Drosophila melanogaster: one gene and its partners. The protein of the gene in region 1 interacts with the protein of each later gene in a pairwise test. Each region holds a gene or a part of one and is shown in the gene's direction. Other genes may lie near its edges.

The links.
Region 2: the proteins of Scr (region 1) and wrd interact in a two-hybrid assay, tested with the Drosophila melanogaster proteins (one study listed by BioGRID).
Region 3: the proteins of Scr (region 1) and tsh interact in a two-hybrid assay, tested with the Drosophila melanogaster proteins (2 studies listed by BioGRID, with this or other methods).
Region 4: the proteins of Scr (region 1) and apt interact in a protein complementation assay, tested with the Drosophila melanogaster proteins (one study listed by BioGRID).

Annotation. Positions count from the first base shown.
Region 1 is NT_033777.3:6,846,954-6,851,943, reverse strand, and holds the start of Scr (Sex combs reduced), read left to right. Parts: upstream 1-1,962; 5' UTR 1,963-2,399; intron 2,400-3,438; exon of another isoform or gene 3,439-4,028; intron 4,029-4,990. UniProt on the Drosophila melanogaster protein: Sequence-specific transcription factor which is part of a developmental regulatory system that provides cells with specific positional identities on the anterior-posterior axis.
Region 2 is NT_033777.3:18,171,329-18,178,890, forward strand, and holds wrd (well-rounded), read left to right. Parts: upstream 1-1,515; 5' UTR 1,516-1,621; intron 1,622-1,797; 5' UTR 1,798-1,956; coding exon 1,957-2,862; intron 2,863-3,211; coding exon 3,212-3,716; intron 3,717-4,004; coding exon 4,005-4,201; intron 4,202-4,274; coding exon 4,275-4,609; intron 4,610-4,675; coding exon 4,676-4,906; intron 4,907-4,978; coding exon 4,979-5,371; intron 5,372-5,476; coding exon 5,477-5,720; coding exon of another isoform or gene 5,721-5,765; exon of another isoform or gene 5,766-5,913; intron 5,914-6,574; coding exon 6,575-6,718; 3' UTR 6,719-7,047; downstream 7,048-7,562.
Region 3 is NT_033779.5:21,827,023-21,831,624, forward strand, and holds the start of tsh (teashirt), read left to right. Parts: upstream 1-1,570; 5' UTR 1,571-2,783; coding exon 2,784-2,836; intron 2,837-4,602. UniProt on the Drosophila melanogaster protein: Homeotic protein that acts downstream of Arm in the Wg cascade during embryogenesis to determine segment identity throughout the entire trunk.
Region 4 is NT_033778.4:23,594,776-23,600,073, forward strand, and holds apt (apontic), read left to right. Parts: upstream 1-1,816; 5' UTR 1,817-1,972; coding exon 1,973-2,023; intron 2,024-2,116; coding exon 2,117-2,222; intron 2,223-2,284; coding exon 2,285-2,545; intron 2,546-2,608; coding exon 2,609-2,855; intron 2,856-2,917; coding exon 2,918-3,752; 3' UTR 3,753-4,751; downstream 4,752-5,298. Other genes in the region: CG42560 (uncharacterized protein), read right to left, coding at 4,773-4,919, 4,982-5,045, 5,105-5,175; CG42559 (uncharacterized protein), read right to left, coding at 5,283-5,298.

The DNA of each region.
Region 1 (4,990 bases):
TAACCTCTCTTGCTATTCAAATATAAAGCCCCAAATAGTAATAAAATTCAGTAATTGTGTATGGAAAAGAAAAAAAAATTTGTTTAAATAAACAGTTTAATGTTTGGAAAAGTAAATTTAAAATTAGTTATAAATATGTTACATTGTATTATAAAAGTTACCATAAGTGCGTTACATAAGTTACAAAGTTTTTCTTTGTGTTTTTTCTATGTCCAGATTTAATTCAAAAATTCCAACTTCGCGTTACGCGCTGTTTTCTTTAACTAAAAACAAAATACAAACGCTGCTGATTGTTTCATATTAAAAATTGAGCGTGTGTGTGCGAGGGGCAACATTTACAATCGGAGGCAACATGCAAGCGATGATGAAAAATCGCCTGCAACATGTTGGATGCTGCTGGGGACCCTCCATGGATCTAGAATGGAATGGGATCCGAGAGGATGCTATGCTATGCTATGGATTGGGATACGAGAGTCTGGCGCTGGCTGCCCGCTGGCATCGCCAACATCAACTCCAATTACAGAAGTACACGCAGGCGTCTCTCTTATGATTTTTTTTTTTTAGTTTTTCATTTATTTTCCATCATTTGTTTTTTTCTATACTTTTATATGGTTTGTGGATGATGCGGGCCAACCATAAAGAGCTGACATGTGTGTTTCAAAAACACAGCGGAAAACATATGGCAAAAAATACGACTTCTATAAGAAGAACAAATCGAATTGGTACATAAACTTAAGCTATAAATTCCGAAATACGTACTTACAAAATTTATTTATATTTTAATAAACATATTTTCGAAAGAATTGCTGATTTCGCGTTTCGGGTTTCGAAAGTAACCGTTCAGTACCACTTAAAAAAACACTTTTATTACAAGTTCGTATCAAATAAACGTATTAAGTTTATACGTTTTTAAATAAGATAATTTTTAAGACACTCACTATAAATACTTATTAAAACAAACTTTTGCTTTTGCAATATATTACGAATGACCTATGCCATTTATCTGTATTTGGTATATGTTTGTGGTTTCGCAACATAAACGTTAGATTCCAAAAATAAAAATAAAAAAAATAATCTCATTCAAAATCGATTTTGGGTGTGTCTTAACCAGCAACTCATTTTTATGATAAAAAATAGCTAATCAACATTTAAATCTCCGAGACAAACTAATCAATTGAATTCAAATTCAAATGACGCCAAAATCAAACCATATGTGTGTTCAGCTCTGAATGCGATGCTGGATTGTTGGTAGCAAATATGAAATCGACTTTTAATTAAGGCATTTAGCCAAACAAATCAAAATCGTTAAGCCCCGATGCTGAATGAATCATGAGAACTTGAACTTGGCTACGGCCCAAAGAGAACCCGATCCGCAGCCCCGAAACAGACCGATAAATTTAAATTCAGAGACAACTGCCAACGAGCTCGTTTTAAAGGAGGAATAACTTAAGCTTCAGCAGGAGACTTTGCATTTTGCCAGGCCAATAAAAATGGAAATGAACGCGGAGCGGAACGTTTATAAAATAATAATGCGAAATAATAATGTGGCGGTGATTTAGCGGAACAGTGCCACGATTGAATACAAATAAAGTGGGGGAGACGCCTAATCTAGGATGATTTCGGCCTAATCTGGAGCGTGAACCGGGGGCAGATGTGTCCTGGAGTGGCTGCCAACTACCTGTTTTTTCTCGCTTTTCTCGTATTTCTCGCTTTTCTCGAGAGCGCGCTTTTCCCCAAATCGAGGGAAAAGCTGGAGCGCCATAGGCCGGTTGCCGTGGCACCCTCGTCGCATAAATCAAGACTGGGGGCGGAGTCTGCCGTGGGTGCAAGTGGGACAGCAGGATTTTCGAAAATGCGCACTGTCCGTCCTCTCTCTCGCACTCGTTGGCCGGGTCCTCAAATGATTTACAGTGTTCGAAACGCACACAAGGCAACGCACGAGAGGGTCGTTTTGTCGGTTTTTATGGCTCAAACGTGAATTGAACGTGGCGCACTTCAGTCGCCAAGCAGCGCGCTCGGTCTTCTGCAAACATAAAAAGATACAGATACACGTTCTCGTATTCGTACGCGTAGCAATCCGCGAAGTTTCCGCTTGAAAGCCAGTCTTGCGATTCCATGGAAAGCTCTTTGGCGACGGCAAGGTGCCATGGTCTCCCCATAGCGGATACTTTACCGACTAACTCCTTTACATAGGAGCGGAATTACCTACCCACCTCAAATAATTTCTCAAACTGCTCATCTTCGCAAATAACTAAGATAGCAAAGTGCAGTGCAAAAGGCAAATACAATTAATACGAAAATAAAAAGTATACAGTGAAGTGCTGGCTAAGAAAACTAATTGAATTACAACGACTTGTTCGTAGCGTCTGATTGGATTTCCCCAAATCGTCCACATAAAGGTAAGAAAATAACAAACGTAGAAAAACTAAACTCTGAATGTAAGAAGAAAATTTAAGAAAGTTTTGCCCTTAAAGGTTTAAATGAAACCATCGATATATCGTTAAATGGTTCCTTTTAACCTTTCTAAACTTTTCCACTCAAATCATTCTGAATTAAAACTGCACTGTGGTGTGGAGGATTGAATATTTTAGAGTCAATTTAACAAACAATAAATATTGTAGAATACAAAAAAGGTGTCAATTGTAAAAAATCAATATAATATATATATATATATTTTTTATAAATATATATTATTTTAGCAAGTTCAGAAATCCAATTACTTTACTTCTTTGCAATACCTCCAAATGTTATATAAACTAACTGCACACTTAACTAAAAAAAAATATATGAACAACATTAAAAATATATATTAAATCTTCAGAGACAGATTTTACTTCTCCAAACTCCCAAAATGAGTCCCAGAGTCTTGATTTTATCCCAACTAGCCCAAAGTACGGAGTTCGAATGTTTATGATTTGGTCCCCCGAAATCGATCTCACACGGACAGTGTCGGTGAGAACAATAAGACTTTAGTCGCAGTTCGAAACATGATTTTCGAACTACCGAGTAACGATCTCTCTCAATAAGAACTTGTTCGAAACACGCGAGAGCGGTGCTTTTCGAACTACCGCTCTTTCGAACTCACACACACACACACCGATGTGTCGTATTCGTATCCGTGAGATACAATTTGTGGGAACGAATTTCTGGTTTGGCGGTTGATTCGAAACGTTCTTCGCGTCCGCAAAGGTAGTTTCAGCACATGCCTGAGAGCGAGCGAGATGGCGGAGCGGCGCAATGCCCGTTGTCTCTCTCGCACACTTTTCGAATAATGAACACTGCACTTGGACGACGATATGTAGCTGTATAGCCATATAGCCTTACTTGCTCGTACTCGCAGATACAATTGGACGGGGGAAATGGAGCAGTATGAGTGAGCCAGAGCGCTGGCGTATCTGTGTTTTTTATTGATGCTCAGAAATTTGAATTATGCCCGAGCAGTCAAAGTGAGACATTGGCGCTTCGAGCACGTATCCGCGGATACACCGGAATAACAGAAAAAAAAGCACAAATAAAAAAACTCAAACAATCCAACACTCAGCTGTTCCGCGTGTAAAGACCCTCGAATACTGTTCGATTTTAGCGAAAGATGGATGGACTGCAAAGTGCTTGCATCGATGCTGGCGCTGATGGACAGTCATAAATTCGGCGTGAAATTCGCGCAGATACTTAGATACTCCGTCATAGCGCATATACTTATCGTGATCTGTAACAAATTGCGCGTGTGCTTGTGTGTTTGTGATACCAAAAGCCGTCCAAATCCGTCGCTTAGCCCTTTGCGGCCAATTACCCATTAGAACCATCCAAAACATAAGCCTGCAGGTAGGACGCAAAAGTCTAGCCAGTTTGCCCTCAGGATGCCATCGGATTAATTTCCCAGATATCCGGCTGGTTGTGACAATTCTACCTTCGTAATTGTGCACGTTGATTTCCGCACTCAGCACAAGTGAAAATCGTGGTTCAGTGCAGTGAAAATCAGAAAACAAACTCACTTGAACGGAGGTGAACGCCGTCGGCTAACTAAAATTGTGAGTAAACGAGTTTAACGGCTGAAAATATTTTAAGCGCTTTGGAACAGGTGAAAACAGTCATGGAAAGGATATTTATTCGTTGTCAGTTTTTGTTTTGTATTTTCTAGTGTTTTTTTTTTTGATGTGTTAAGAACTTATGTAGCAATATTTGGTCTAAAGCAATTTAATTATAGTTTTTTCTTAACAATTTGATGCGATTTTATTTATCAAATAATATTTACAATAAAAAAGTGCTTTGTTCGTATGTACATATTTTTTTAAGTAACAATATTTCTACCACCTTAAATTTTATTTTTAATCTTACAATCTTTATCTTGTACTTTGACTTTCTTATTGAAGAAATAATACCAACACTAGTAAGTTAAAAAAAAATAAGAAATTTTTAATTTCTTTAATAAATCAATTTAATATTCTTTGAAGAAATCATCAAAGGTGCGTAATAATTTCCCCTGTTTGCTTCTTAAGACACTCCATATCAAATAATATAATTTGAAAAAATCAATGAAATATATTTTGATACCTAGTAACCGAACCCAGAAAATACATTTTATATATTTCCCTATATCGGGGCTTTGTTTCTGTATTCTGTTTAAGCAATTTTTCATAAGGTTGCGTGTGCGGTATCAACGCAAGGAATTTTCACTTCATTAAAGCGAAATGCAGCCGCTTTTGAAATAATTAAGAGGCACAAAGGCGAAATGTCACAGCGAATGAAAAATGCCTAACAAGCGCCGCATATAGAAGGTTAATCCAGACACATAGCGTTATATACCGAGCCCAAGCTGGGATAGGGATGAAGAAATGCCCACGATATAGGCTTGGCTACTATCCGGGGAACTCGAACTCATGCTGGCCAAGACGCCATGGGGCGAACATGAAATTATGTAAAATAAAAGAAGACGCACTGGGCTGGAACTTCATGGGACTTTGCCAATGACCGAGTAAAGGCGATGCTCCTG
Region 2 (7,562 bases), about 11 Mb from region 1:
GCCAAAATGGCAGCGAGGGACCATCCCGAACTGAACTGCTTTGCTCTGATTTTGCAAGTGCTACGTTTTGAGTATGCTTTTTATTTGACCGCATATTGCTTTGCATTCGTTGTTAAAATTATTTTCATTTACTAAGCATAAGCCAAACCGTTGACATGGGAAAAGATAATCAGATAAGTGTCATTTATGCCCCTTTGCAGGCTAACAAACTCAAGGACAACACACCACCGTACGATGCACCGCCGCCCACGCCGATCAGCAAGGTCCTGAACATCACCGGCACCCCGATCGTTCGCAAGGAGAAGCGCCAGACCAGCGCCCGGTACAATGCCTCCAAGAACTGCGAACTGACGGCCCTCATTCCGCTAAACGAGAGTGAGTAGCCTTGGAGTAGATCCTACTACTTAGTATATTACTTTATAATACATGTACTGCCAGCTGTTCAGATCGATATCTCTTAAGCCTGCAGATCGGTTGCATGGGGTAGAACTTGGTCGTAGCCATGTCGTAGCATACATTTTAGGGCAGGGTTCCGTTTAGGCGATATAAAATTACCTTTCTTACTGTCTACCAACATCGTCAATTAAGTTTTTATGCAACTATACACTCAAAACAGATTGTATAAATCGTAGTAATTCCCATTAACGATGCATAATTACATATATTATGTCAATTAACTCCGGTAAATTTCCATGATTATAAGTTCAGCTTTAACTTACAAGAGGCATTCTCTGTAAAGTGTACCTACGACCTGCAAGCTTGTTGGGAATATTGATTGGCCGGCGCTTGATTAATTTCGCTCAGCTGTTGTAATTTGTTTATTATTTGTTAAAGTTAAAGGTCAAGGGAGTGTCGTCTGATTAGGTGGGTGGCAACACTGACGCACGGCCACTCACACATGTGAACCAAGCAGCCGCATCAATTCACACCTCTCTCCACCTCTCTCACTCACCGGAATTTCAACACATGCGCTCTCTCCGCAGCCTCTCATTACACTGGGAGAAAGCATCGTTAGAGGATTTCTCAGACCGTCTTAAATTTCATATATACACCGGCATTTCTTTATGACACAAATGTATTCGATTGATTTAAACTTGTGTATACAAATAATTAGAAAAACTGTATCCTGCAGGGAATTAATTTAAAAAAAAGCAAATTCAATATTTTTGAAAATCATATATGTACATATCTGCGCGTAATGATTATGAAATTGCTACACTTTTTTTTTCTGTGCAGCATGAATGTCATCGCATTGCGTTATTCACATACCTTTCTGCTAATTGCTTGGGCGGTTTCGACTCACAAATCGAATAAACAAATTTCGCTTGTTCAATACTATTTTATTTTATTAGGTTTTATTGTTATTGTGGCTCGCTCGCCCACCAGCCCACTTTCTCTCTCTTTATTTTCTCTCTGTCTGCTGCTCACCAAATTTCTCTCCATTTCATTCTCTCTCGATATCGATTTTTCCGATTGGCGCAGCAGTCGAAGCAACAAAAAAAAAACCGTTTCAAGACCGTGAACGTCGTGTGCCCCGAAAACTTTAATATTAGTTGAAAATATTCGTTTCCCAAGTTAATTGCTCTCCTATCCTATTCCCTCATTTGTTCCCATTCGAACCGTAAGTTTTTCCACGTAATTATGGCCATTTGTGAGGCAAAAGAAGAATTTTAGCAGAGGCGTTGTCATTTCCATTTTCATTTCCAATTGCATTTCATTTCGTTTTGTGTTACCATCAGCGCATAATCGCATTTGGCGTTAATCTAAACCATTATCTATATTGCAATTCCATTACAGATTCTATAGTTTCATACTTAGCGTGCCCAAATTGAGTTTCTAGTGTAGTCTTTCTCATGTGTTGTTGTTGGTCGGCGGGGGCGGCTGGTAAAAAAAACAAGCGTTCCGTATCAAGATTAAAACCGAGTGCCATTTGCTCCAAGTGCCGGCACTAATGAGATGGTCTTCGGTGCTATGTTGCTGACGGGCAACGGGCTCAAAGGTCCCAAACAGCAGCAACAGCAACATCAGCAGGAGCCGCAGCAGCAGCAGCAGCAATCGCAACAGCAGCAGCAAGAGCAAAAGAAACCGGCGCCCATTAAATCCTCCAGCAAGGAGCAGGAAACGCAGCCCATTGCAGCCGGGTATTATGCCCTCGGCATACGCATACCCAAATCTCCATCGTTTCACAGCGGCCTAGATCAGCTGGCCGACGACGAGTTGGACGATCAGGTGCAGGATCAGCAGCAGGAGCAGCAACAGACCGGCAGCCGATTCAGGTTTAGCAGCGTGGAGGAGCTAAAGGCCAAGTTCGAGGGGCGGAAAACGCCCCTCTCACCGCCAGAGGCAGCAGCAGGAGGAGCAGCCGGATCCGGAGCACCCACCACATCCTCCTCACCATCGTCCTCGTCCACCAGCTCCAATTCGTCGGCCTCGGCCCTGTCCTCGCTTTCACAGGCGGCCTCATCCTCGCTAGCCTCGGCGGCTGCTAACTCCTCGGCCTCATCCTCGGCCGCCACATACGGTGGTGGAGCGAATTCGGCTGCAGCTGCACTGATTGCCTCCTCGCCATTTGGATCGCAGTCCTCCACTTCTTCGCTCTCGCTATCCTCGAATGCCGGCATGTCGAAGAACGCGGCAGGAGCAGGATCTGGATCTGGATCTGGAACAACGTCAACGGGCGCTGCTAGCGGCAGCAATTCACTTGTGTCCACTTTGGCACAACATTTCTCGGCGGCCACATCCGCCGCAGCATCGGCGGCAGCCGCTGCGGCATCCTCTGCCTCGGCGGCGTCCTCCTCGTCAGCTTCCTCCTCATCCACCGCCACCAACAACGCAGCCAGCAGCTCCATCGCCGCCAGCAAGGTTTGCAGCTTGGTCTTGTCCACATACACACACACCCAGCGATCTGAAAACCCAAAACATAACCACATCACCACCTCCAAGTACAAACCACAAATTTTACACTTTCTTCCAAACTTTCACTAATTGTGTTAGCTTTTTGGATAACGATAACTAAGTTTCAAAGAAAAAAATAACAATTCAAGTACCTTGTTAATCAAAGTTTTATTTACATTGTACGCTAGAAGCTAATACATTTAGTAGCATCTCACACACTATCCACCAACACTAACTCCATCCCAATTGAACAAACCGAAATTTGATAAACCAAAACCATACTCTGCTCTCATTTCATCGCTTCCTCATCATCCAGTCACCTGTGAGCGCGGCCGCGGCCATAAAGAACATACTGAATGCCACCAAGAGTGTGGGTACTAGTGCTGCGGCGGCGGCAGCAGCGGCGGCCACCTCCTCCTCATCATCCCCATCCTCTGCGGCGGCTGTGCCGTCGTCCGCCGCCACCGCCGTCGCCGCTGTTCCCACCACCAGCGATGTGCCCGCAGAGGAGATGCGTCCGACGGTGGCCCAGAATCTGGTGGGCGGCATTAGCATCTCATTGGGAATTGGCCAGCGCAATGGCGGCGCAGCACCTGCGTCATCAGCAGTAATGGTGACACCTAACGCCACCATGGTGGTGACCACATCGAGCCTAAGCATCCGGCAGAACGGTGACATACTGCCGGGTCATCCGGCGGGTCTTCAGCCCTCGCCCCAGACGCTCCAACAGCTGACGGGCAGTCCGGGAAGGGCTCGCGACCGGAATCTATTCTACACGCCACCCACCGCTTCGGTTGCCATGGCGCTGCCTGCACTGCGAGGTTGCTATCCCGAATGGATCCGGGCCAATGGCGATGGATGGAGCCATTCCAGCCATTGCCCTTGGGCCTGAGGTCCTCCGGCTACTTGATCCTTTCTTCCGATCTTCATTATGTTCGTTTTGAGTTTCGCTTGCCTGCTTTTGGTTGGTCGTTTTTGTAGTTGTAGGTTTTTTTTTTTTAATTTTATATTAAGGTCAATTTTATATGGCTTACATTTTGTTTGATATATCTATCACTTATATTATATATTTAAAAAAATTAATGATGATTTCATTTGTATTTCCATAGAGACCGCCGCCAGTGAACGTGAGGAGCTGTTCATACAGAAGATCCAGCAATGCTGCACACTGTTCGACTTCTCCGAGCCGCTCAGCGACCTCAAGTTCAAGGAGGTGAAGCGGGCGGCTCTGCACGAAATGGTCGATTTCCTCACCAACCAAAATGGCGTAATAACCGAAGTTATTTACCCGGAGGCGATCAATATGGTAAGCTACTAATTTACATATTTAAAATAATATCACATGCTTTTACCACAACATACTTATCTGTTCTCATCAGTTTGCTGTCAACCTTTTCCGAACTCTGCCGCCATCGTCCAACCCGAATGGTGCCGAATTCGATCCGGAGGAGGATGAGCCCACGTTGGAGTCCTCGTGGCCGCATCTGCAACTCGTTTACGAGCTGTTCTTGCGCTTCTTGGAGTCACCAGATTTTCAACCAAGCATGGCAAAACGTTTTATCGACCATCAATTTGTATTACAACTATTGGATTTATTCGATTCGGAGGATCCACGTGAACGTGATTTCCTGAAGACTGTTTTACATCGCATCTATGGAAAATTTTTGGGCTTGAGAGCATTTATTAGAAAGCAGATCAACAATGTCTTTTACAGGTGAGCTCGTCATTGGAATATCTATAAGGTTAATGCCTCACATTACTAATCGCATTCCACATTTAGATTTATTTATGAAACGGAGCATCATAATGGCATAGCCGAATTGTTGGAAATCCTGGGTAGCATTATCAATGGCTTTGCTCTGCCGCTTAAGGAGGAGCATAAACAATTTTTACTTAAGGTATTGCTGCCATTGCACAAAGCCAAGAGCCTCTCGGTCTACCATCCGCAGCTCACCTATTGTGTGGTGCAGTTCCTGGAGAAGGATCCTAGCTTATCGGAGGCGGTCATCAAGTGAGTAAAGAATTCCTTATTTTGCGCATTTTCTAATTAGCCTATCGCTGCCATATTTCAATATTCTTGCAGAAGCCTACTTAAATTTTGGCCCAAGACGCACAGTCCCAAGGAGGTTATGTTTTTGAACGAGCTGGAGGAGCTGTTGGACGTAATTGAGCCGGCCGAGTTCCAGAAGGTGATGGTGCCGCTGTTCCGCCAAATAGCCAAGTGCGTCTCTTCGCCTCATTTCCAGGTGGCCGAACGTGCGTTGTACTATTGGAACAACGAGTACATTATGTCGCTGATAACGGATAACTCGGCGGTGATATTACCCATTATGTTCCCAGCGCTCAATCGCAACTCAAAGACGCACTGGAACAAGACCATCCATGGTCTGATCTACAATGCACTCAAGCTGTTCATGGAGATAGATCAGCGGCTTTTTGACGAGTGCAGCAAGAACTACAAGCAAGAGAAGCAGATGTATGTGTTAACTTTAGTTGATAATTAACTTCCATGGGACGATGCACTCACGTTTTATTACTTTGTACTAAACATTGGCGTTTTTTTTTTTTTTTTGCATTGCAGGGAGCGTGAGAAGCTGTCGCAAAGGGAGGAGCTCTGGCAACAGGTGGAGAGCTTGGCCAAGACCAACCCGGAGTGGACAAAGGCGCGCCGGTTTAACGACTGCCTGCCGGTCAGCGACAGCCGGGCCCTGTGCGATCAATATAGTGAGAACAGCGATTCAGCGTATGATCAGAGCGAGCAGAGGGCGCGCCAGCCGCCGCCTCCGCTGCCGCCACAGAAACAGGCGCACCAGGAGCCCCGAGAGGTGAGACAGGCACTTGCCACATTAACAACACTAAACAACTACTAATCCGCCACGTGTGATCCTGGCGTCGCTGTGAGCTGTGCCCAGCTAAGGCCCACTCTGTTTCAACTCTAATTCTAATCGAACGAATGTCTGTTAAAATAATCACACTCATGTCATTTAAAAAAAAAAAAATACATATTTGTATATCTTTAACTTTGTCTATTTATTTATTAATTATTTGGTAACCTCACTGTCTGCCAAACCAAACGCATCCATGCAAATTCATCCACGACACAACAACTTTTCTCCTGCACTTTTGGTTAACCGCATACGAATTGGGCGGAATTAATATGTAGTTTATCTTACTTAGATGTTAATTACACTTTGGTCCATCTTTTAACTCATTTGTGGTCATTTTAATGAGAGAACGCGTTCCTTTTGTAACATCAATATGATTCTCATTTATTAATTTGAACACTTAACATAATTTTCCTCAAGTGAATCACCATTTTTAAGCATGAATCCCAGTTAGAGTAAAATCTGTGCACATAACTATTAAAAACTAGTGTCAAATGTATCATGTTGTTAACAACTCAGAACCAGAAACCATACAACACTCCTCGATCTCAGACCTTTGTAACACAATTCGACATTCGGGTGTAGATGTATATATATATCGTAGTCGTGTGTTGTCCAACTGGTGGTCATCGAGTTTCCATCCAGCACCACAGCACTCGATATCGTAACGCAATCATCCCGCACCACCGTGTAACTTCACCCGCCCAGTGTGTGTGTGTGTGTGTGCTGCGATGCCTTAGTGTCAGAAGCGGGTCCATTTTCTATTGCCAAACCCCCCTTCCCGTTCCACACAGATTCGTGGCGAACGGAACAAGGACAAGCCGCTGCTGCGCCGGAAATCGGACCTGCCATCGGACAGTGGAACCGTGAAGGCGCTAAACGAGCACAAGCGGACGGATGAGTACCTCACAACGCCGCCGCCGGATGGAAACTACTAGGAGAGAGCTGGCCAGCCGACGCCACCAATATTCGTAGCTCCAATGAGGAGGATAGTCAAACCACAGAACTTACCCAAATAGACCTACACACTCCAGACTAAGGCCAGAAAGCATACATATATAGAAGCACAAGTCCAAGTCCAGAGATGAAGGATAGAATCCGCACAACTAGAGAACAAACAATTTTGAACGATGCATTTGCATTTGGGGGCTTAGAGTGGGGGCGTGGCAACGGATGCAAGCCAATTGCTATATATATATACACATACAAAATACCTATCTTTAGTGATCATGCATAGTACCAATAAAGATCAAGAATCCCCAACGAGATCGATTGTCTAGCTCCAATTTCGTTTGCATATGCATTTCAAGATTACCCTTTTGCTCCAACGCATGCCACAGTGAAGCTTAGCCCTGAATGACCTTCTTATATATATTCTTATTTCTTATATCTTTTACCCAATGCATGTTGCTGCTAGCGTTGCTTTAGCTATAGCCCTATCAATTAGATCTAATTGTGCAATAATCTGGTATCACAACTATGCTCTTACCATTTCAGTAAACGCGTGAATATAATTGTACAGTTGAATTTGAATTGTCTAACTTAAGGCGTAGGCGTTTACCACCTTGATTGAGTACATATATATCCCCCGATTTCTGCCACATGCATACATAGATAGCTATATGACATCCAGACATTCATGCCACATGCCACTATTATACACACATACTATATAAAACATGTTTACTACTCCACGACTCAAATTTGCAAATATTGTACGCTATTTAGCCTAGCAGTTAGAGCAGCATACCCATAATATATTTATATGAAACAAATCGCCCA
Region 3 (4,602 bases), on another chromosome or scaffold:
CTATTCTATTTTGGGTGAACCTTTTCTTAACCGATTTGCTTCTGCCATTCGGATCATTATTCTGTTGGAATTTCCATTTTAAGGGCATATTATAATAAGAATATGACAGTAAGACATCCCTTAGTATATTTACACATGCGTTTTGGTCTATAATACCATAAATCATATGTTATGGACTCATACCATTGTAAAAAATAAACAAGCCCATACCAGTATTGCAGGTCCACCGTGATTGAAAGTCTTCAGTGGGTGTTTTGGGTGGTACTCGGTGTTTGGAGGTCGTCAGATATAACCATATGAACCAGTTCCACCAAATAGCACTATTTTTAACACATCAGTCCAGGGGATATTACGCCATTTGGAGACTGGCCAGTTTAGGTGGGTTTTAGCGAAGTTTAACCTTGGCTTAAAATGCCTTGGGCTAAGTAGGGGCACCTTTCGTGGACTCCTCGCAACTAAATTTTGATTCAGTAGTCGTCTCCGTAAATATGCATAGGAATCAAGGCAATGCTCGGTTACCGGTTGATAATTTTATAGAATAATGTATATAATGTTTTATAATGTAATGTATTATAATGTATCGAAAGTTACTATTTTATACGTTTGTCAATTTATGTGAAAAAGTACATGCAATATATAAACTTAAGGTAACCAGGGTCGGCACAAAGAAAAATATTGTAGATGCACTTATTAGACGTGATCTTGAGTATTAATGATACTAGTATTTAAATAGTATTCAATGCTGTCATCTTTTAGACTGTATAAAGGCACTTATTAAACCAAATTTGTACTTCATTCGGCTTTATACTTTCATATGTACATCAATGTTCTTACACAGCCTTACATTCACGCATTCACAAACATTGACACCTTGCCATGAAAACTAATAAAATCGCGGCATTTTGGCACATTTTCAGAGGAAAGAACGGCCGGAGTGTCGCTAATTCAATTGTTTTCGCAGCCAAAAAGAAAAGTGGAATGGGTTGATTTCAAGTGAAAATTGCCCCAAACCACTTTTCCACTTTTTCACTCTCCTACTCGCTCGCACAGCAATGCAACGAAACAAAAGAAGCGAGATCCACGAAGAAGCTGCAGAAAGGCGAACAAAAGTTGACAGCAGAGGGTATGAAGGAAGGTGAGCGAGAGGGAAGAGGCTAAAAGTGACGAGGGCGAAAAGCTCAGAGAGCAACAACTACTGTTTATTTTGAAAAGAAATAAAAACAGAGCAGGGACCGACACAGTTTGAGTGGCTGCGAGCAGGACGGCGCATGCGAGTGAGAGCATTTTTGTTAAACTGTCATAAATCTTAATTGTGATGGAATCGGATTCGGAATAGGACAAAAGAAGGGTGACGAAACGACAAAACAGATTTCACACACTTTCGGAGCAAGCGAGACGGAGCGGTCCCACAACGCTATCTCTTTCCCTAGCGATTTCCCCTGTTTCAGTTCCAAGCGTTCACTTGCCAGCACAGGGGAAAGTCTGCGCTCTTGTCGCTCTCTCTCTCTCTTCTCTCTCGCGCTCTCTTTTGGCTACCCATCGGTTTCGGGTTCTTTTCGCCAAGAGTCAGTCAGTCGACAAGAAACCGTTACTGCGTACGATCGTGCGAAAAAGCTCGGCGCACTTGGAAAAATCGTACGGTAATTAGTTAGCCGAGTGCCGGCGAGTGCGAGCGAGAGAGTAGCACATTTAATCACGCTGACAGCCAGCTTGTCCTGCAAGGGTGTGGGTGGCACACACGGCACACACAACACACACACAAGTGCGCAGCCGTCGCCAGAACGCAAAATCGAATCAGAAATTGCCGTCGCCAAAACGCGGGCTTCGTGTTTGCTCGTCAACAGCAGCGCAGCTTCCAATCGCTGCGCGTCCGTCGCGTCGCTTCATTTTTTCATCCGTATCAATCAGTGAAGGCAGAGCAGCAGCGCCCCGTTGTTGTTGTTTGTCAGCTTGACAGCGACGGCAGCGCAGCAGCAGCGCACCGGCAGAGCACCGCAGCAGAGGCTAGTGACGAAGGAACCCGGCCAGCGGGATTCAATCGCCTTTGGACTTTCGTTCGAGTAGTGACGACGAATCCGGATGAGAAGACGCACGCATCGCGACCCGCGGTTCCGCCAGAACAGTGAATTCTCAGTTTAAAACGCGTTTTTGGGGGAGGATAGAACGAGTGTTTTCCAGGCCGCCATCATATCTAGTCAAAGAAGCAGAGGTTTGATACTCTCGAACGCAAATGCTCGATCAAGACTGAAACATACGAGAAACATACAACTACAAATGGTTCAACAAAGTATACGTAAAACTACCACAAGCTAAACAAAATATACCACAAAAATATATTTATTACCAAAACTAAAGATAAACTATTGCAAATATTTACATTAAACGGTATTTAATTCACCAAAATTACACTACATACATAATGTAAAGCCAGTTACTTAAATCAACAAACCTTAACGAAGTATACGATTCAATGCAATTAATAAATTAAATTTAAATCAACACAAATTAGGAATTAAAAATACAAACGCCTCGAAACGTCATTTTTTGTCTGACATACGAAAGTTTATAAATTACAAAATCCAAAAAATATAAATTAATCAGTTATACGCTGCAACAACAACAAGTTATACTACAACGTACCAAGTGCAAAACAATAGATTATATGATCATTGTGTCAAACTAAAGTTAAGTTCCAAAATCCAACTAAAATCCTCGTTGTTTGCTCCAAAAAGAGCAAACCATCCAAGTTCCAGCAAACCGTCAAAATTCAGCAAAATTTAAAAATGTTACACGAGGCTCTGATGCTCGAGATCTACAGACAGGCGCTAAATGCCGGGTAAGTGTTATATGGAAGATTATTTCCATAGAACAGTGAAAGATGTAGAATTAAGAAAAAGATTCACATGGCCTTATTCGGGGGATTCAAAAATGTGACTACTCTGGGTATGAAGGATAAACGAACTGAGATTTTACTACCAAAGTGCATCAAAGTGTTTTTCATTATGAAATAGTGAAATATTGAATTCTTAACTAAAAGTGGCCATACTCAAAATATTCACATATAAAATAATTACATTCATCTCATTCAGTTAATATTATTTTTTTGCAATTGCTTTTTATGTGCGTTCAAGTATCTGGTTAAATAGAATATTATATATACCAAGTATATACGACATATATTGAATATAGAACGTTTTCAATCAAAATCAAAAACCATTGTCATTGTGAACTGATAGCCGAACTTGTTGAAATAGTATTGCAGACTCTCAACCACAAATCGGCCAAATAAATATATCAAGAAACTATGATTTCATGGCATTTGATGATTGGCATTGGCGGTTCGGCGTAGTCGCACACCTGTCGTTATAAATTCAGCGCCTCGCCAATAGCGCGCCCATATATCACAACACCCACCCGCAGAACCAAGAGTACTGAGTTCACGACTACGAGTCCAGACCCTCGGATCGGGAAAAGCAGAACTTGATTTGAAAAGGGTGGCTGGCAGGGGAAATCCGAAAATAACAGAAAAATCGCCATAGTTCGATGATGGGATACTAACTTGGGGTAAGCGTTTGTGTATCTGTATCTGGGTTTCTCTGAAATTATGATTAAACAAGTTCAAGATATTTTTCGAACTCGCTCTCGAACAGTCACTCGAGTGAGCCTGAGTCTGAGCAAATTAACTGAAGGCTAAAAACGGGTTTTATGACACTATATTTGCGGGGGCGAGGGTATTCGGGGGTGCATCTGGAGTATTAATAATAAAGTGCGACAAATTGTCTCGCTCTCGTTTGATTTGCATGCAGATACACACGAATTTTCAAGATTTTCCAAGGCGATGACGTAGTCGAATTGAATAAATCATGCGAAAAAGTGAAAAACTCAAAATACGCTACGCTCTGCTTGCCATCTTTTCCATTCTCCACCCCCTCCAATTTCCCCGTGTGCGCCTATTACCGGAGAGATTTATGTTCACAATTTGCCGCTGGCGTGTGCGTGTGCGTGTGGCTGTATCTCCGGGTGCATGTGTATGTTTAGTAATATTTACTCTGCTACCTTAACGGATTTGTCGTGCCTTAGATTTGCTTTAACAGGGACAGTGTGTTGTATTCGGCACAAATAGATATACTGTTATTAATAACCTTCATTTCGCAGTATATAGTAAAAATATACTAGGGAATAAACATTTTAAACAATAATTCTACTATAAAAAAATTCAGATCGGTCAACTCATATTTATTTATATTCTCACCTGAGGTCCAACCAACTCTCCCATATCACACCAATGGGTGTACTCCCACTATTTTAGTTAGCCTGAGCGTTACGGGTGCATATCAATATGCAACTCTCTCGATTATTAATGAGACATTTCAACTTGTAATTAACTGCACTTGCTGGAGTTGCGTATAAATCATTTTGATTTAAGCCTAATCGAATAACGAGATTTCAGATTATGATATGCTGGCGGAGAAAACTCGTTGCCAAGTATTTTATACTAGTCAAGCAAAATAATGGAGAAACGAGCCGCTAAATGGGTTGTTTGCGGGCTCAATCGCCCCTTGCAATCTGGATAGCTAATTAGCGGTGAGTGATTGCGCGGTG
Region 4 (5,298 bases), on another chromosome or scaffold:
CAGCCCACAAAAGCAGATAACAACAAACAGTCATACTCATACGCTCACAGACGTAGATGACCAAAATCTAAACCAGTTTGCTTATTTAATTTCAATGCTTAGTTTTGAAGTCACATTGATTGGAGGAGTGTGATTACCTCTATGAGTGTGCGAGCTGCCAGCCCCAAAAGCGGAGTGCCAGCAAACAATCCAATATACATCGCGGATTGACGTAATTTAGTTACATTTCCGAATCGAAACAAAAATGGTATCAAATCGCTTGAGAGATCCTGGAGAGCAGCGCGTTCTTTCGGGCACAGAATTTCACAGTTGGCATCTTCGAACTTCATCTTTGACTAACTTGGCTGGAGCCCCACCCTGGCGAATAATTGGCACTCGCCTCGAATTTAAATGATTCTGGCATTCCTTGAATGCACTGACAGAAACTCTGGCATCTCATGGGCTTGAAAGTACGAGAACCTCCCATTGAAGAATCTATTGATTTCTCAAATCAGCATATCGTTTTCTCTGCGTGTATCTTCCCAAAAGGAGCGGTTTAACCACCCCGCAGCTCATGACTAAAATTTAAACAGCTCCATAATAGTCGGCCGTAATAATTAATTGTTTGCTAATAAATATGAGTTTATATATGTATATAGGAAGAGCTCAAATAATAAAAAATAATAAGCGCACGCGCCGCGTCTCCAATGACTAAGTCTCCTTTCAGTCTTCGAGTACGCGATAAATGCGAATGTACATATATACGTATGTATCTAGATACGTAGTTCGAGTGTACGAGGTACACATACGAGTGCCGAGTATAAGTATAAATTGTAAATCAGATACGGCATAAATATTGAACACATGGCGCAGTAGTTTATACACCCAAGAGTTGTGGGTGTTCGATGGCTGCAGGGGGGGTGGGGGTGGGGTAGTTGAGGGGCACGGAAGGAACTGAACAAAATTGAAATAAAATAAAGCACCATAAAACGTACTTAAGATTGACGATTGTGTTTTTTGGGGGAGCGATCAATGAAAGAGTTTCGATGAAGACAATATATGGCAAGTACAGTTGAGCTCTTTTTTGGATTTGGGCATTCGTGTTGTCTGCAAAGGGTTATTGATAATTCTATGCTCTTCCCAATTTAGTTAATATTCTTTTATTACTAAATTATGAGGGAATTTTTGTGTCTGATTTCGAGACGGGGGAACAATCGAAGGAGCCAGAAAGCGACCGAAGAACGCGTTGAGTAAATGCACATTCTGGAATATTTATATAGTACATTTGAATATATATGTACTTGATTAGATATAATTGGCTGTCAGTATGTCTCTTGATCGCTCCACTCAATCGCACCAATACTCGGATTCGGATACCGAGCAACCGCACAGATACATTTTCGAAACAAACAAAATGTCGGCAGCTGCTTGTTGTGTTAGCTTATAAATTAAAACGCGTTTCATGGCATTATTATTTGATGGTTTTTTACTTTTTTTTTTTTCGTCTTATGGCTGCTCAATTCATTCGATTGTTCGTATATTCACATTCTTTTTAGCCCATTCGTACCCATATACCCCCGATATCGCTCACACCTCCTTCCCCCCCTTCTCCGCTCGGTTCATCTGTCCGCCTGTCTGCTAATTGAAAATCAATTAATGTGACTGCATCCTATAGCTGCTCATGTCAAAGTCAGATATCATCCAGGGTAGGGTAAATTCGATGGAATAAGGGAATGAAAACAAGAGAAGGAATTCAAGACTCAACGACTCAGATTCAGAATCCGAATCAGAATCCTTTTGTTTTCACTGACCTTACTGTCTGAAAACAAAAACCCAATTGATGTGCCCCAAGTAACACTCTGATAATTACCGAAAAACTCCAAATTTTTCGATTGCTTTCGACTTTGGCAGTATTCATCGCCAAGTTCATTGGGTTTTCGAGTGCGTCCCGCGAATCGCTTTCGTTTGGTGCGGAATTTGGCACAAGTTTTGTATGCTCAACTACTGGGAAGGCCAATCTGGGGCTTCTAATTCCACTGTGCGGGTAATTTGGGGACTCTTGCCAGTTACTAGTTACCTCCCAATACGAATCACTGATTTCTCACCTCCTGCCACTCGCTTCTTGCTTCCGTTGCAGGTCAACAAACAGTATTCGGCCACCGATCTGGAGGCTTTTATGAAGATTGCCGCCAACTGGCAAAATTCCAATCACAACTTGCTGGAGGGCGTCGACATAAAGACGGGTAAGTTAAACAAAACGAAGTGACCGTTGAAGGAACTTAATTCAATCATCGAATGCTTGCAGAAATGACACAGTACATGAACAGTCCTTCCATGAACATGTACAAGAAGAGGGAACGCACCCAGAACTGGAACCACCAGGAGAAGAAATACCTACTCGATCTGTGTCGCAAGGACATGCGCATTATCGAGAACAAGAGATTGGATGCCGGTCTGACCGCCGTGAAGAACAAGGCATGGAAGATTATCCACCAGAAGTTCTCCAATCAGTTTGGCACCGATCGCACCTGCAATCGCCTGAAGGAACAGTGGCGTCGCATGAAGGGTAAGTCTTTATAAAATACATATATTTAATGGCAAAGCTAACCTTTTCGATCTCATCCTTTAGCATGTACTCGCAACGAGATCCTGGACTACAATAATCGCCTGGCCAGGTTTGGAGCAGAGGTGGCCGATCGCAAGAAGCCATCTCCGTTCACCTTCGAGGTGTGGGATTTCATGCAGGAGGCGAAGAAGGCATGCAAATCGGAGGCCCTGGATGGCATTGATTACTCTAAGATTCCACTGGCCTTGGAGGAGGGTTTTGAGTATCGTGAGGATTACAAATTCAATCCCGAAGACCACGACATGGATGAGTAAGTTGATCGCTATGTGGTAGTCTGAATAGATCTTTATTGAGCATTCTCTATTTGAGCAGCAGCCGCACACCGCCGCAGGAACTGTGCGATGTGGACATCAAGGAGGAGGAGAACAACGAGACCTTCAACGAGACCTTCAACCATCACCACCTCAACCAGAGCGACATCCTTGGCAGCGGCGAGCGTCTCAGTGTGTCGCCTAATCACAGCATCAGTCGCAACGGGATCCACGAGGCCGAGAGTCCCGCCACGATTTCCACATCTAATGTCCTGGACTCGAGCGGTGCCTATATGGCCGGAGGAGGTGACATGTCCGGCTTCCAGGCCAACTTCAACATGAACAACATATCCGCCACGCTGGAGGCACTGAATGCCCTCCGTTCTGGCCAATTTCCCAGTGCAGCAGCAGCGGCAGCGGCCGCCATTCACCAGCACCAGGCACAGGCCCAGGTCGCCATGCATCACCAGCACAATAACAACAACAACAATAACAACAACAACGAGGACGACGAGGACAGCATGAAGCCGCAGTCTAAGAGACAGCGCACCAGCAGTGGTAGCATGTTGGGCAGCGAGGATCAGGCACCAGTCCTGGCCCCATCAGTGCCAGCATCCTCGGACTCGCAGGCCCTAGAGCGGTCCGGCAGCAGCAATGGATTGACCATGCCGGGAACGGCAGTCAGCACCAATGCCAACAGCAGCAGCAGCAACAACAACAACTTTGAGCTGCGCATGTTCATGGAGATGCAGAGCAAGGAGCACATGATGCGCATGAAGATCCTGGAGGTGCAGTTGCAGGCGGCAAAGCACAGTCGCGACCTAGTGGAGATCAACAAGACACTGGCGCTGCAGAAGCTGCAGTTGGAGCTGGCCAGCAAGCGACTGCCCAGTTAGGAGGCAGTGCAGCAGCAAAAGGAGCAGCAGCAGCAACAGCAGCAGCAGCCCATCGCCGTTTCATGTTACATTAGTTTATAGAAATAAAGCCTGTCAACTCGGTCACGTTCGCAGGCAGAGAGCGTGATTGGGAATCGACTAGAGTTAGCACTAGAGTTAGTCTTAAGTTGAAAGCAGGATCCACAGCTACACATCCAGACCCGACACACAGAGAGACATTCCTGGCATTGTTGATCAGTATTTGAAAGCTAGAAGCGAAACCCGACACACAGAACCGAACCCAAGAACCCCAGCGAGGATCAGGAGGCGCTCGGAAGTATGCCATAATCTTATGATGATGATGACGATGATGATGATGAATCGCCTACCTCACAAGCACACACACACACACACACACAATATGCACACACTCAGCTAGCAGACACACACACACAGACACACTCTCTTCTGGCCTAACCAGCACTTGACCAAGTCAAGTCAAGTTTAGTTAGTTTCTAGTTTTAGTTCGTATGGGAACCACTCTCTCCAAGTTGCTCAACTACCACAAATGTATTGTACTTACGTTCTTGACCTCTGCTACCCCACAACTAACGATTTGAACGAACATGAAATGCACACAAGATTATTTTTCATAGTCCTAAGAGAAGAACCTTATATATGTCAATGCATCATACACAATCGGCAGTTGTCTCTGATTTTGATTCTTACTTGAACTTGTATTTATTTGTATCTTTGTATAGACTATGTTGATATATATATGACCCTATATATGTTTGTTTCAATGCCATATTACATGAAAGTTCTTTTTAATTCATATTTTCCGTTTGCGCTGCAAAACAAATTGTTACCATATATAATATATGATATGTATGTACCCTACGTATAAGCAGGCTTGAAGAAGGCCGCCAACTCGGCTTCAGTTGTCGTAGAAGACTTCTTTGTAAAGCGTGTAAATGAGAGATACAAATTATTTTAAATAAAATACAAAACAAAACAAGCAAATGTTTCAGCTACACTTTATTAATTTTGTTCATGGTTCATCTGTGAGCCTTCGGTCTTGGTTTTTTCCAACGATTGTATCTGCTTATCCACCTTGATGATCTTTGTTGTGACTTCGTTCTTCTGGCTGAGAATCTTTTCTCGCAACGACTTCAGCTGTTCCCGTTGCTGGGTAAATTTGCAATTAAATTTAAATAGATTACTTTCGTTTTTTGAGATCACAAACCAACCAGTTTAAGGAAATGTATGTTCTCCTCCGCCCTGGCTTTTTCGAACAAATGCTTGGATATGTTCCTGGATACAGAGATGCATCTAATAAGCGAAGCCATAAGTGCTCAGAACACGGAACTCACTTGTTGGATTGTGAAAACTGACACATCCTGGGTCGCAACAGTTGGAAAAGCTTTTCGACCAACTTCAGCATTGTATCCTTACGGAGGAAGATAATTTGGAATTTACTATAGTAACTGATGAGGTATTTCAAGGTGGAATATTGACAAACTTAAAAGTGATAGCCTACCGTTTGATAGGTCATTTTTCGAGACTC